2 linked regions of the Oreochromis niloticus genome follow. The protein of the gene in region 1 interacts with the protein of each later gene in a pairwise test. Links are inferred from orthologs where the notes say so. Each region holds a gene or a part of one and is shown on either strand. Other genes may lie near its edges.

Region 1 (7,154 bases):
AGCTGATCACTGATGATGTGTAAAAACCAGTTTACACAGTTGTAGTGAGCTGCCAAAAAGAAAAAAAGAAAAAACAAAAAAACCAACCAAACTGCTTCCTGCCAAGACTGTAAATAAAGGTAATGAGAGAAGAGCATCAGAGATGCTATCAAAAAGCCACAATGACCAAAACTGACTAAAAAAAGCTTATTGTGTGAGTTTACAACTATGATCGAAGCCTTTTATGTTAGACATTACAGGCCATCTGCACAGGAGAAAATAAATATCACAGGCTGACTTCATAGAAGAATCACCTTTGAATCCTTCTCGGCCTTTCAGCAAAAAAGTGTAAAAGAAAAAAAAATGCTGCTGAGGCCATACACTTTTAAAAGAAGCACCTTTCTCTAGTTTAGCATTCGATCGTACTTAAACACTGAGTCAACTGTTTGGTTTCTTCTGTTTTAAAAGTAATTCTTATTTTAAGACTGTTTTCATGGACCACTGATTCATTTATTAGGCCAATCCCCTTCTAACCAGCCCTGGACCTTCACACCTCATATTTATATAGCAGCAGTTTTGCTTGACATTGTGTCAGCCTGCTTCTCAACAGAAACATATCCACCATACTGGAGTGGACATGGAAAGGATCACTGTAACATGACCTGCGACCTTAAACAGCAAGAACAACAGGTACTGTTGCCAGCTGCAGTCCAACATCATGAAATTCGAGTTTATCCTCAGGATTAGAGACTCATTGAGCAAAAGGCTGACTGCGCTGCTCGACTGTTTTTATCTTTGCAAATAATCCATGTAAACTGTTAAATGGTATACGCTCTGACATGCAAGCTTGCTACCGCTAATGTTCACTGATCACCTCTTTTGCAGTGCTAACATTTTCATGTGTGGTTTCATAAGACCAAGATGGTGAAAGCCCAACTGCCACACTGCAAGTTTCAAAGCTGGTGCCCACAAACCACGGGGTGACATTAAAGTGGCTCTGCCCAGCTTTTATATGCTTTGGGTGCTTTCCATGACTCAAGCACGCCTCCTTTCTTCCTTTGGTCAGGCTCCATCTTCATATAAAGCAATTAACTTGTTGTCCAGTACTAGCTGGCAACTAGTTGCTAGCACTAGGAGACGGCTCTTCCTAGCCATCTCAGAGAGATGTGAAGGAGGTACGTGTCGATGGAGGAGCTGCTGTTGCTAAATGAGAACTTTGTGGTTTCATCGTCAGTGTAGAGTGAGTCACGGTGCACAGCTGGGCCACCTGTCCAACTCACAGACTCCCACACGAGCCCTCATTTAAGAACGATTTCAAAGCTTAGAGCAGCTTCTCCTTCAAAGTCTGAAAGTCATTCAAATCTCTAATAGGCCAATTTAAATAAAAATAATCTCTCATGTGCCATCTTTAGATATGCTACAAAAAATAAATAACCAATTATTAGTATTTTTTATTTTATATCTTCCAAATATTTACCTTTTATAAATAAAATTTACTTGCGTTATTGTTACTTCCTTACTTATCGTTATTAGTCGTTGATATAACAGGCTAGAAGGTAACAAGGTACTGTAATCACATTACTCTTTGAGACAGGCAGTACTGTAACATATCACTGTACTAATTTCAGCAACTGCATCACTATTTGCTTTGCAAAGGTTATTCAATTATCTCAGCAATGGGCAGATTGAAAGAGGGGGAAAAAAAAATCAAACCAGCAGTTTTCTTCCTGTGCTGCTGTCAGGTGAGTTCAGATTTTTGCAGGGAGGAGGAAAATGGTGGAGCAGTTTACAACATTTGAGAAGTGGCGATGTGGCCATTTCACTGCATGAAAGGATGAGATCACGAATCGCAAACTGCATCCAGAGCAGAAACTGCTGCATTATACTGTTAACGCAACATCTCTTTACAAACATCTTCACGGTGAAGAACCTAGAGTCAGTGTATCCTGACCCTTAGTCAGCAGCCAGAGTGATGAGCCATCAGGCCCAGCCTCCATTTCTACCTGTACATGTTTCTACAGTAGAATCGGTGTGGTGGTTGTTCTGAAGGCTCCTTGAGTTGGTTTTCAACTTTGCCACGTGTTATCACTACAAAAATTAAATTAAATTAAATAAAATCTTACGGCCTCTGTTATGATAGGGGTTTGAGTCACTGTGTGGGGCTGTAGCCTAAGGCTTATAATGCATCACAACATGCTGTCAGTCATGTTGCGGTGGAGTAACGCAAAGTATAACGAGTAGTTTAACAAATTACTTTCTCCAGGGAGTAATTAGGTAATGCAAAATGAAACAAAAACAAATAAATAAAAGTGACAAGTAATGTTTAAGACTTTGAGCAACGACCCCAGCAATGTTCACCTCACAGTAACTGCTTTCTTTTTTTGAAGCAATTTGCTTCTTTGAGGGATACTAAAACATTTAAGTTAATTGTATATTAAATATTAGTGTTTCTCCGTGTAACTGTGTGTATTAGAATTGACTGGTCCTTACAAAACACCACAGCACGAGAGCTATGACGATAACCTGTGTCACGTGAGGAGGGAGGAGAGAGGACGCATAAGTTTAGCATTCTGAAAAGCGTCCTACTGCTGGGACTCGTTCAATCTGCAGGTGAGGCGCTGGGGCGGGCTGACGTCATGCAGGGCCCTGCCGCAGCCAGGTTGAATGAATCAGCTTTGGCGCGATAATGAAGCTAAGGTGCCTAAAACAAGCTGAGAAAACGCCACCATTAAATAAAGACATTGACAGCAGCGACTAACCCCTCGCTGCTTTTAGACTGCAGTGATTAAACACGTCAGTCCAACCTCGTTTCAGCACTAATGCACGATGCTGAGGTTGCTAGCTACTGAGCTAAGTTCACTATACACTCCACTTTAGCTCACTATTTAGGACACTTAGCTTCTTGTGGCTCGTGTTTTATCACCTGAATTGCGGCTCATTCTTTTCTCCCATCCGGACGGTAGGTTCTCCTCGTCTGCCATGTTGCTTTCTGCAGCAGCGTTTTCAAATTTGATTTCAATCTAGAAGCCGTGTGACGAACCAAGCTGCAGCTAGGCAGATTACGACAGTTGGCCTGATGTTTATGGTACAAGTTGTTTTCAGTATTAGGTCCGCCTTTGGTGGGGTTTTTGTTCTGTGATAGGTCTAGCGAGATCGCCAATCATCGTAGTCCTCATTTGATTGGTAGGAAGGCGAATTCGCAACTAAACCAGCTTTACGGTAAGCAGGACCGAGAGGTTTCCAGAAAATATCAGCGAAGGAAATAATTGTTTTTTTCTGCTGTACAGTTCAAGGTAAGGATGACAGCTTCAACGTGTGGTTTTTATACGGTATCATAATGTTTCGGATTTTGACCTCATAAAGCTGCCCATGAGTGTATTTAAATATAAGTCCCGTTTGTTTTACATTAACGTGGTGTTGTGAGCTACAGCTAACGTTAGCTAAACAAAACAACCTGGCTGATTTCACTAGATTTCTGTGGCTGTGATTTCCAGCCAATCTTGTATAAAATAAACTCACTAGGGTTATCATCTACTTTATAATCTAATACCTTCATTTGTCTAACGTTGTCTCATCTCTTCCTCTTTTCTGCAGACATAAAGATGATTGAAGTGGTTTGCAACGACCGTCTAGGCAAGAAAGTCCGGGTCAAGTGCAAGTATCCTTTGCTGAAACTCTGAAAATAATGCTGAATATTGTCTCTCAGCACACATGTCAAAATCATGTTTTAGGTGCGGACATCTGGGATGTCTTGAGATGAGTTAACATAAGTCGGGATGTTTAACAGTACAGCATTCATCAGCATCTGCTTTCACAGCACCCCTGCTCTGAAATTATGGACTTAATTTTAAGGTGCAAGTAAGGCCCATTTATATTATAGAATGGTGTGGGGAATAGTTTTACAATGAATCTATTAACATGTGAGTTTCTGGAGTATGTTAGAAGACTAAAATTCAGTGTCACTGTTTGTCTTGGCACCCATGCTGATTACTTCTTATGACTTATTTCATTCCGTTAATACAGAAACCCACAATTGAAAGTCTGTGGGTTATTATAATAGTCATATTTGAGGTTTCAGCTTGTAAGTGAACTTTATTAAAAACAAAAAGTCAGTATCTTACATTTTGGTCTTTCAGGTTCTTTTACCTTTTAATATGTGACGCTATTTATGTTTATTATCATCAAATGATGTTTAAAAATGGTGCTTGCCACTATTTGCCATCACTTGACAGCAGATATAATACCACTTGAATGAACGCCACTTGACAATCAACTAAAAGTCTGATGATTTTCAGTAACTTCTGGGTGTCGCAGCTTGAAGGGATCTTGTTTGGTCAAGTGTTAGACGTTTTTGGCCTATAATGGGTTCGGAGGCAGTCTGTCATGGGGCTACAGAGAGAGTTGGACCAGTTTAGATAGAATACTTTAGCCATCCTGTGTGTTTTGACTGAGGAAAGCAGAGCATCCAAAGCTGCTGCGCCGTCCATCTGCAGATCAAAAGAAACAAAATGATACTAGCAGACAACACTCAGATTTTTTTTAACCACGCATTTGTTAAAGCTCTGGATGTTTTCCAAGCTGTTACACTGCTCCTTCCTTAACTTCGGTGTTTCAGCTCTGAGGATACCATCGGAGATCTGAAGAAGCTCATAGCTGCCCAGACAGGAACACGGCATGATAAGATCGTGCTAAAGAAATGGTGAGCTGCTCAAATGGGATTTGATGTGCTTGATGACAAATAACTCATCTATTTGGACCTAAATGTTGTCCTTTGTTTTCCACAGGTACACCATATTCAAGGACCACGTGTCTCTGGGTGACTGTATCCTTTAAAGGGTTTTTCCTGTAGTTGTACTTATGTGGTTTTAGTTACATTACCTTTAATTTAATAATGATCATGACCGTGACGTTATTACACCCTCACAGAACAACTGCAGTTCCTTTTATTGCACTCACAATGATCCATAACATGAATGTATCCATAAATTGTTTAAATTGGTAAAAAAATGTTTTTTATTGATTTAGAGATCAAGATAACTGCAGCACTTATTTTTCTCTAATTAAAACAGCTGAAGCATTTTTGTAATGCGTGTAAATTTGTACCTCTCAGAATCAGCAGAACCGATAGCTGCTGTATCCAGATCACTTGTTGCACTTAACCAAAAACTCTCCAGATGAAATCCATGATGGGATGAACCTTGAGCTGTACTACCAGTAAGCAAGAGGAGAACTACAAGTCAGATGTACAGATGTAAAGATGTTTCTTGCTACAAACACACACACACAATTGAAGGTCTCACACAACAAGATGGAGCGAGAGCGACAGTCACACAGCAACAATGGAGTTTTAATTTTTCCTCTCAAATCACTTTGTGAAAGAGATGTTGTTGTTGTTTTTTTTTATATTTTGGAAATAAAACTGATATTTACCTGACTGTGAGAGTGAGTGCTGGTCTTTTTTGTCCATTAATTATTTTCTCATACTGGGTGAGACTGGGAAACCTTATGCATCGCTAACACTTTTCCAAATTACTCTTTGCTTTCCAGCTTACTGGATGAAGGTAAAGTGTTGGGCAAAAGCATGCAAAAAAACATGGAGTTAGTTGCTTTTGATGTTGGTGGTAGTAAGTAGAAGGGTTTAATTGGTGCCAATGGGACCTACAAACTTATCAGTGGAACTTGGCAATGATATTTGCCTATGGCTGTGCATCCAACATCATTCACGTGGGGATGTATATGAATAATTTCAGTGGAGGCAAATGGACACCATCAGGTTTTCTAGGGGCCTTCTGCTCCAACTCCTCCACAAACTTTTAATTAGACGTAGCTTTACCTCTGTACATAAGACCAGTATGGCTAATGAGTTTATCGCATATACGCATTGCAGAAGCTAGATTTACACGCATGCTGTTTTCAACAACAAAAAAAAGTGCTTGGACTAAAAAAAATGATACTGGCTGATTAATCAGCTTTGGCAGCAGTTCTCAGACTGAGAGCTGGGGTTAGCAACCAGGGGGAATTTGTATGAAACAAAGTTTAATGATTTAGTTTTAAAAAAGGTGGTTTCTAAAGCTATTGCGCTGACTCTGAAGTATCTTTTATTGTTTAATGATGGGGGGGAAAAGCCAGCGCTAAACCTCCCTGTACACTATATGTTTAACCTCGATATTTTAAACCATTCTTTACCACATTACACTCGTACTGGACCACATTTCAGAGGAAATTATAAGACCTTTGTGCATCTAACATGTACTTTTATTTTAGAAACCTTTCTGTAGTGTACTGATCAGATAAGACAGCTATAGCACAAAAAACACCTGCTTGTTCACTGCATCAGTGTGAATACATATAAGGTGTATTGTGTAAACTATTTTTGCAGAAGTTCTACATGTCAGGAAGCCTGTGGCATTGATACTTTGACCTTTGTTGCAGCTAAATAAATGCTGCTACTACAGAGAAGTGCCATGGCCCGCAACTCTGTTTTAGATTTCAGATTTAGCATTACAATACAGATGTGGGCACAAAACCAGCCCCATAATCAAACATTTTCCTTTGGTGTGTAAGAACATGTCTGCACTGAACAAAGCCGTCCAACGTGTTTGAAGTGGAAGCGGCACTTTTGGCAGAGTGAGAGCGAAATCCTGCTGCCATGGAGACCTTACTTATAGACTCAGTCTTCTTGGACATGGATACTATTGTGTCTCTCAACACTTCAGAGCTTTAGCCATTGACAGCTGACATTGATGTAAACCTTTTACTAAAACTGCATCAAAGAAAGAAAAGAATGAGGGGACAGTCGTGGCACAGCTGTGGAAAGACAACAACTGCCGAATGAGGGAAGAGGTCAAATGTGAAGATATTTAGAATCCCCATATACTAGTATCATTTCCAAACTGTAGCCAATATAAGAATTTGAATCATTTTTAAAAATAAAAGGCAAGTTTTACCTTATTTGACCTTGAAAAAGAGATCAAAGGTCCAAAGTAATGTGATAATTACAATCCCCAGTTATCATTCTCTATATGCTGTCAATACAAACAATAGCAGTAAGAAAGTTTGCAATAGCTCTGCATTGTATTATTATCACTTTGACCTTGAGGGAGAGGTCAGAGGTCAAAAGTGACATAATATTCTAAATCTTTATACAGTACTTTCTAACAAAACACACCACACTA
Region 2 (7,960 bases), on another chromosome or scaffold:
TCATGGAGTTCATGTAACTGCCAACCTGTTCCGCTCAATCACAAACACACAGCAGCTCACTGCCATTTTAGCGCCGCCCTGATGCACTAAAGTCGCTTTGAAGACGGGCTACGACTAACGCGGACCTCGTCCCCGTCCTCAAAGCAACGACATCACAACAGTTTGGGTTGTGCTGAATACCGATCGGACTCTTTGAGCGTCACTGTGTGAAACACGGACTTTAATAAGAACCTGCAGAAAAACAAAAGCGATGCGTCCCGAGGCGGGATGGCGACGCCTCCCCGGCTCGATGACAAACGTGAAAACAAGCTGAGGTTACACCTCAGCAGGTGTGCTGTTAGCAGACTGGGATCGTGTGGCACGTTCAGTAATCTGTTCACTGGGTTTAATGGATGAAACCAGTTTGTGCTGTTTAAAAAAAGCAACGTGATTAAACAGACACGATCCGTCAATCGGAGCCTCGGGATCGAGTCTGGAGTTTAAAATAAATCTGAGCTCATGCTGAAGGATTCGTAACAGCTCTCATCTTCACTTTCTTACCTTTCTCCAAAATATCCTCCGCTCCGTCCTCCCACTGATCCTCGTCCTCGTACTCATCGTCCACATCTGGACAGACAAACACAGGGTCAGACGTGCATCATCATCATCATCATCATCACAAGGAGTCTGAGAGACTGTCATCTGTTCACACCAGCTTCATCCAGGATGAACCCTCCGTGTCTCGGCTTCTTCCTCGGACGATCGTCGTCGTCATCCTCCTCCTCTTCTTCGTCGTACTCCTCCTCATCCTCCAGGTCCTCCCCCTCCTCATCCGCTACCTTGTCACTGCCCACTGGGCTGCCCGTCTCCTCCTGGTGACACAACGACAAAAGCAGATGAAAATTAATCTCCTGCATCCCCTCTGAGAGTCTGCTGCTTCTCCGGTTCTTCCGTTTTTCCAGGGATCTTTTATAAACACAGCCTCAGAGATCTGAGCATCATCTGAGCAGAGACCCCGACCCTGCAAATCTGACATTTTTCCACTCAGAAATTTGGTGCCATTAAGGCTGTTGGCCTATCGTCAGTCAAAAATATCTCTGATGAATAATTAAGTCAAATTTCCCGTCAGACGGTAGAAACTGCAATGACATTTTTGTAAAGTAACATTTGCACGTCCTTTATTTATCTGGGTAAAGTCTCATGAACACTCAAGAGTTATATTCTAGAGCGTTTGGTCGAAGACGGCAGCTTTTACAGAAACATCACACATAAAACAGGACATTTAGTTTTACATTAAAATAAAAATAGCATTTGTTTTTAAAGCAGTTGTATGGCAGTCGAGCACCACCGAAGTGTTCGAGCCCAAAGGCACATACAGCAGGTAAGTGCTATGATTTAAAGTCAAAGAGATGCTGTAACCATTTAAAATGTAATAACGTATATACGGAACTATCAAACATACGATAAATATATAAAGTAGAATCAAAAGTATGACTGTGTAAGAAAACAAAAGACGACGGTGGTGATGTCACTCGACTTCATTTTACTTATTTCCTGAAGCTCTATAAAAAAAAAATTGCTTGTGATAAGTCCAGTGTCTCTTTTCATTTATCAGAAATTTTCTCTTTTAGTTGAAGTCGGTGGTGTGACCCACTTTACTCTAACACCACCCCCACCCCCACCCCCCAGAAGAAAAACAAAAAAACAAAAACAGAGTAAAGTACCTGTGGTCTGATGCCACGCAGGGATTTTTCACAGGTGTTACTTTCATTTTGAGTAAGAGCCAAGCCGTTACTGTGGGTGACACCACAGATTCCCGAGGGCAGAGAAACTTTATCATCAGCATTTATGGAGTTATTTTACATTAAATATGAACATTTATTCAAAAGAATACTACTGTTTTTGGTCACTATTAATCCTCCTTTGGTACGGTAGGAGGATCGTGACTCATTGTGTCACTGGTGTTATTGTACGTTTCATTTCTAACACATCACGTGTGTCATATTTAACACGCTATTGTACCAAATAAACAGCTGCAAAAATATCACACGATCACTCTTTAACAAACCAGAGTGAAAACAATAGATCAGCTCCTGATTTCCTGCATTACATTCATTATTTCTCTGTGACTCGGGAAATAATAGTTCATAAAAGCCTTTAAAAATGCCACAGGAGTAACACCGGTGCCAAAAACACCAAAGCTCTTTAAGTTAATGTACAAAAACAGACAAAAACAGAAAAAACATTAAGCTGTCATTTATGGGAAGTCAATAAGTGACCACATTATTAATACACCATCTGTAGAATGAGCCTCAACATTTGAAGAGGACTGCGTGGATTATAACGTGGGCACAGAGCAGGTACAAAAACTCAGTCATAAAGTCACTTATAGAACTGGTTATTTACTTTATTTTATATATAGTCCTGCCATAAATCCCGTTGACTGCAGCAAATTTACCGGAATAAATAAGAACATTAGACAGAAGACACACATACACACACGACCGGGTTTGTCCCCATAAAGTTTCTTAGCTTTTTCTTATAAATTGTGCCGTTTTTATGCAGGTCTGACTGCGTTCTTCCTCGGTATCCTACCGCACATGTCGCAGCTGCGCTCTCCTCTCTGTTTACCTCCTGTTAGCACACGTAGCTTGCCGGCTAGCTCACCTCATTCTCCTCCACTTCCTCGGCCTCGCCATCGCTGCTGCGCTCGCTCTGGTTGTCGGAGAAGTCGCTGTCCTCGCTGTCGGACATCTCGTCTCTGCGGACAGAAGCACTTTTAGCGACGGAAAAATTCACAAAGCAGCTCGGTGAAGTTTGAATCGAGTCCGGCTGCGCGGCCACAACAACCAGCAGGGCCAAGCAAGAGAGGCTAATGCATAGCACAGAGGCAGGGTCCAATAACCTCTTCAGCAGCTGCAGTCAGAGCTTAAATAACGAGCTCCGCGGGTCTTCCTTACCTGCTTCAACCAGACGGAGCCGGTTTAATCCAGATCTTTGATGAATAAATATGAATATAAGCTTCTTTCTGTCTCTGATGATTCTTCGCGTATTCTCGGGGAACAACGAGATTTCGGAAAGCTGCTCAAAAATTCTCGCGGGGTTTCACACAATAGGTAGGTAAACGTTGACGAGGTGCCACTCCGCCATGTTTTTGAGAACACGTTTGTTTCTTCAATTTATCAAACGGCTAAAGTTTTTTTTTTTATTTTTTTTAAGAAAATTCATAAATGTAAAAAAGTATACGTATATGTACATATAAGTAAATTAACCAAACACATATATCTTTAAGTTTTCCAGTTTAGAGACTAAGCTGTTTTATTAGAGAAAATGCATACAAAATAATTATTAAAAATAATCAAATAAATAAAAACTACAAATAAACAACACAAATCGTTAGAAATAATGAATTTAAACTTGCTACAAAGAAAAACGGAAGAGGAAACATACAACCACACACTATTTATGATTCTTATTTGCCACAAATGATTATGTCAGCCTTTAATTTTAATAAATAGATCAACATTTGAAATATTTACATTATATAACTATATATTTTTAAAACACTTCGAGTTCATAATTTCTCCTCAGAGTGAATGCCTCTTTTACATAAATCTTTGTTACGTCCACACGCAGATACGCTGTTCGACTTTTCGCCAAACCAGCCAATCACATGGCGCAGGCCAAGGAGAGTCACAGTGCGCATGTCGTTGTCGCCGACAGGGTTGGAACAGCAGGTAGGTCCTCCAGGTTTCGCTCCTCTGTCGTTTCTGAGACGAGCGGTGTTTGTTCCCGGAGATGAACAGTGTGGGGGAGGCCTGTACCGAGCTGAAGCGGGAGTACGACACCTGCTTCAACCGCTGGTTTGCCGAGAAGTTCCTGAAGGGCGACCGGAGCGGCGACCCGTGCACGGAGAGCTTCCGGAAGTACCAGCGCTGCGTGCAGGCGGCCATCAAGGAGAAGGAGATCCCCATCGACGGCGTGGACTTCATGGGGCCCAACAAGGACAAGCCTGAGAGCTGATGGAGGACTGCTGGGGAAATCCTAAAAATGTACACCACACTGAGCGGGGTCCACGAGGCCCACCGAGCATGCGCAGGAGCGGACAAGCTGCTGTCGCTGGGGTTAGAGGGTGAAGCGGCCCCTGAAAGGACCGTCTCCTTAAATATAAGCTTTTCTTTTACTGCACAGCTCTGTTCGGACTTCCTTTCTCACCAGAGACACTTACAGCCCGGTTCTCCTCCAGAGGGCCGATGGAGCAGCTGTCAGCCATGAAACTGAGCTAAAACTGTCTGAATCCAATTACTAACCAGCTAAAGCTCCTCCATGACGGCCTGTGTGCGCGTTATGAAGCAGTGGCAGCCTGTAACCATGCATTTACACAGCTAAAATAAGATGTGATGCTGAAAACTCTTCTGACTAATGTCATGTGTGCAAAACTCAATCTTGCATTGTACAAATGAATTAAAGGGAGCTCGGTGTTGGAGCAGGACTCTTGCACATGGTGTGTTTTTACTCAAACAGCAGGCGGTTTGTGGGGTCGATGTCTCTCCTTATTTTTCTGCAGGTTATTCTTTATCATTCTGAGTATTTTCAGTGTTGAGACCAGTTCTGTGTCTCATTCTTCCTGTGCCTGCGACGGATGTTCAGATTAAACATGACCAGAGTTCTGAATTGGCCCATGCTGTGCACTCAAAGCACTTCGGTCTCTCACACACACTCAGTGGACGGTCACCTCGCCATCCTTTGGGTTCTTACTCCCCGGATGCTCTGACTTGCCAGCCCGGTGGAGCCGGGGATCAAACCACTGCCTGGTACTGGGCTTGGTTTGTGGGGGGTGTTCGACAGAGGGAGCTTAATGAGTTCATAAGCCAGAGTCAATGTTTTCAGTGCGCTGAAGGTGGCTCTATTTTCACCATGACAAATGCTCAGAGTTTGAGCTTAAAGTCAGCTGGGAGCACCACACTGACTGGTCCTCTGCATGCATCCAGCCAGTAACACCAGTAAATGAATGCAGCTGTTCAAACTGGTGATGCAGAAAGTTTGTTTTGTTTTTTTAATGTTTGGTCTTAATCTGCTGCCAAGCTTCACTGATGCTAATAGAACACAAGAAAATAATTTAGTTTCATCTGCAGGCTGTTAATCAAGAAGAAAACGTACTCGCTCATTGATTTCACTTTGGCTCGTTGGGCGACAAACTAAAGTGGTTTACTTTGAGGCCGCGGGACAGAGAGCGGTAATGTTTAAATGTTTCCCAGCAGCAATGTTAGAGATAAACAGCAGCACTGAGCGCGCTCAGAGGGAGGTTCCATAAATTTTGTTATTGTAGTCCCCGCAGTGTGTCTGGTTATTACATCACCAGGATTTTCTGCAGCCTTACTCTGTGTGTTATTTCTATCACCACTGTTGTATTTTACTATAATGTTTGAGCATCTTTATACAAACCGAAGTAGAAAATAGTTAGCTGTTGTGTAAAATGTAAACAAAAGCAATGCAGTGATTTCAAGTCACGTCTGTAAAAGTAGGACAGGTCCATGTTTGCTCTGTAACATCAGTCTGTGATGGACTGATGGAGGATTCCAGCTGCTCAGCAGTCCTGGCTCTGCTTCGTCCTCTTGTTGCTTTCTTGATGCTCCAGATGTTGTCAGCTGGTCAGAGGTCTGGACTGCAGGCGGGCGGTTCAGTGGCCGGACTCTGTTCCTCTGAAGCCGTGAGGCTGGAATAGATGCAGTCAGAGGCCTTCCTGAGAAACACATCTGCACGGAGCAGATGTTGCTCTCCAACCTGTTTATACCTTTCAGGACTGATGGAGCCTTTCCAGATGTGCCGGTTCTGAAATTGTTCCACAGTTAAGAGACACAGTTTGTGTAGATTGGCGAGCTTCTGCTCATGAGTTGCAATATGATCCTTCCAGCTGTTTCTTCTTAGTAACTGCGGCTCTACCACTCTTTCATTGAGCTGTCCGAACAGTTGCTGCCGTCAAAATGACCTAATATTTTTCTGTTTTTCTGATATGTTTCCTGTGTTGTGAATAAAATGCGAGTTTTGCGCTTCCATTTTACACAGACTCCCAACTTTTTCAGGACTGAAGGAGCCGTTCGTCTCATGTTGTCTCTGACAGGTGGATTCAGTGCTCACTGGATGGAAAAGTAGAAGTCAGAAGCAAAGAGCACGACCTAACAGACAAAGCTGATTACCACCACCGTACATATCATCCCCTTTTTCTAGCACTGCTTGCTTCATGTTTTATCCCTCAGAGGTCTGCACTATGAAGCACGTCCAACCCTACCAAGGATGCAGGATACAATGTAAACTCCAAGAGCTTTCCTGACTCACATAAATTAATTAACTTTGCTTGGAAATGAAGAATGTATGGGGGTGTCTAAATTCATGCGCTGCATCCTCCTGAGGACACATTTATAGGCCAATTACGTCACAGCGACACGCCGAAGGCTGTCCAAATTTGTAGACTCCTCCAAATGCAGCCGACAAATGTGTCCTCCTTTTCCCCAAATTTGAAGGATGGGTCGGGTGTGTCCTTCGTGGCCCACCGTATCCCAGAATTCATAGCGCGGCCCAGCCAATTCCAGTTTTCAACAATGGCGGCCGCTACTAAGTTTTTAATATTACTCTTATTAATCTTTCTGGGTCACAAAATAAACTTTGAAGATATTTTCAGGCGAGAATGTAGCTGTGTAAACTTCAAATATCTGCTCGGTTTATCAAGAGATCACATATTTGCAAAAGTAATCCGACGTTTTCAGAGACGTCTGTTACCCACCACCTCAATAGCTAGTCAGGAGCTTGAGGGTCACTTGAGCCGCCGAGAACGGCACAACTCCCGGCACATCATTTTCAGATCACCACGGTCTTTGGCCACTCAGGTTAAACGTAACATATAAGTCACTTAGACAACCTAAAAATGTTATTGTTTGGCTTTTTTCAGTGTTTAATTTGTTTGTGAGTAAATTGGTTTGGCTGAGATTAAAGTTATTAGATTAGATTAGATAAAATAAAACTTTATTAATCCGTCGGTTGGGTTCCTCCAGCTGAATAAACGTCAAACAGAAAACTGATTAAACAGAAGTGTGAGATGATCGAGAGTTTGCTCCAGTGTCCTGTTATATTTTAGATAGCAAGGAGCAGACGGCCGAGTTTATTAAACAACACTGAAACAGCGGTGACGTTAATCTGAACGCTAGACCGTCCAATTTCACAGCCGTTTTCTTCCGGCTTACCCGACCTTCTGAGGACCCGGCCCACTCAGGAGGATGCAGCCCATGAATTTGGACACAACCTATGTTTTTCACTGCTGTTATTGTTGCTGTTAGCCTCTGTTAGCTGCCGTTAGCAGGTATTAGTGAAACTCTGAAGTGGATCTAACATTGTTGGACTGCAACACTGAATAAACTGATGTGATGAGAGAACGTCATCAAACTGTTTATCAGATGGAAAGTGTCATTTGTAGGACGCTCGAGGCGACATTAGCTGGTGTAATGTTAGCGTATAAGCAGCTGTTGTTGTTTAGCCACCTGTATTCAGCTGGCAGAAGAAGGGAGGGGTCACACGTCTAATCTGCTGACAAGTAACCGAGACAATACCTGGAATAAGTGACCATGTTTATGCACGTGTGCTGACTTCAGTTAGGAGACGAGGCCAGGAGGAAGAGGACCATTGACTCGAGGTGGCTCGGGCACTGCATTCAGGATGGCTGGCATATAATGGCAGATAATAAACATATTGCATTGATTTTCGAGTTAAATATGTGTAAACATGAGGTCGAATTTCAGGCTTTTCTGGAGCCTTAAACCGCATTCACAGCTGTTTCCATTTATGTACATTTCCATTTATGTAAATGCACAGCATTTCTAGCCCCCTCCCCCACCCAGCCCCCAGTCACCCACCATACCCTCTCCCCCGTGCCACACTCTGAAACAATGTCTCACATTTTGATTAGCTCTGGTTTAAAGGAGCCGGCTGA

Evidence for each region.
Region 2: the proteins of pin1 (region 1) and supt5h interact in binary tests that used the Homo sapiens proteins (3 or more experiments, as listed by UniProt). The link is inferred for Oreochromis niloticus from reciprocal best matches to the Homo sapiens genes PIN1 and SUPT5H.

What each region holds. Positions count from the first base shown.
Region 1 is NC_031971.2:12,301,587-12,308,740, reverse strand, and holds the start of pin1 (peptidyl-prolyl cis-trans isomerase NIMA-interacting 1), read right to left. Parts: upstream 3,081-7,154; 5' UTR 2,961-3,080; coding exon 2,903-2,960; intron 1-2,902. Other genes in the region: ubl5 (ubiquitin-like protein 5), read left to right, coding at 3,582-3,637, 4,595-4,678, 4,764-4,801, 5,154-5,197. UniProt on the Homo sapiens protein: Peptidyl-prolyl cis/trans isomerase (PPIase) that binds to and isomerizes specific phosphorylated Ser/Thr-Pro (pSer/Thr-Pro) motifs.
Region 2 is NC_031979.2:38,112,823-38,120,782, reverse strand, and holds the start of supt5h (transcription elongation factor SPT5), read right to left. Parts: upstream 3,079-7,960; 5' UTR 2,940-3,078; intron 2,741-2,939; 5' UTR 2,734-2,740; coding exon 2,647-2,733; intron 852-2,646; coding exon 692-851; intron 607-691; coding exon 541-606; intron 1-540. Other genes in the region: triap1 (TP53-regulated inhibitor of apoptosis 1), read left to right, coding at 3,778-4,002. UniProt on the Homo sapiens protein: Component of the DRB sensitivity-inducing factor complex (DSIF complex), which regulates mRNA processing and transcription elongation by RNA polymerase II.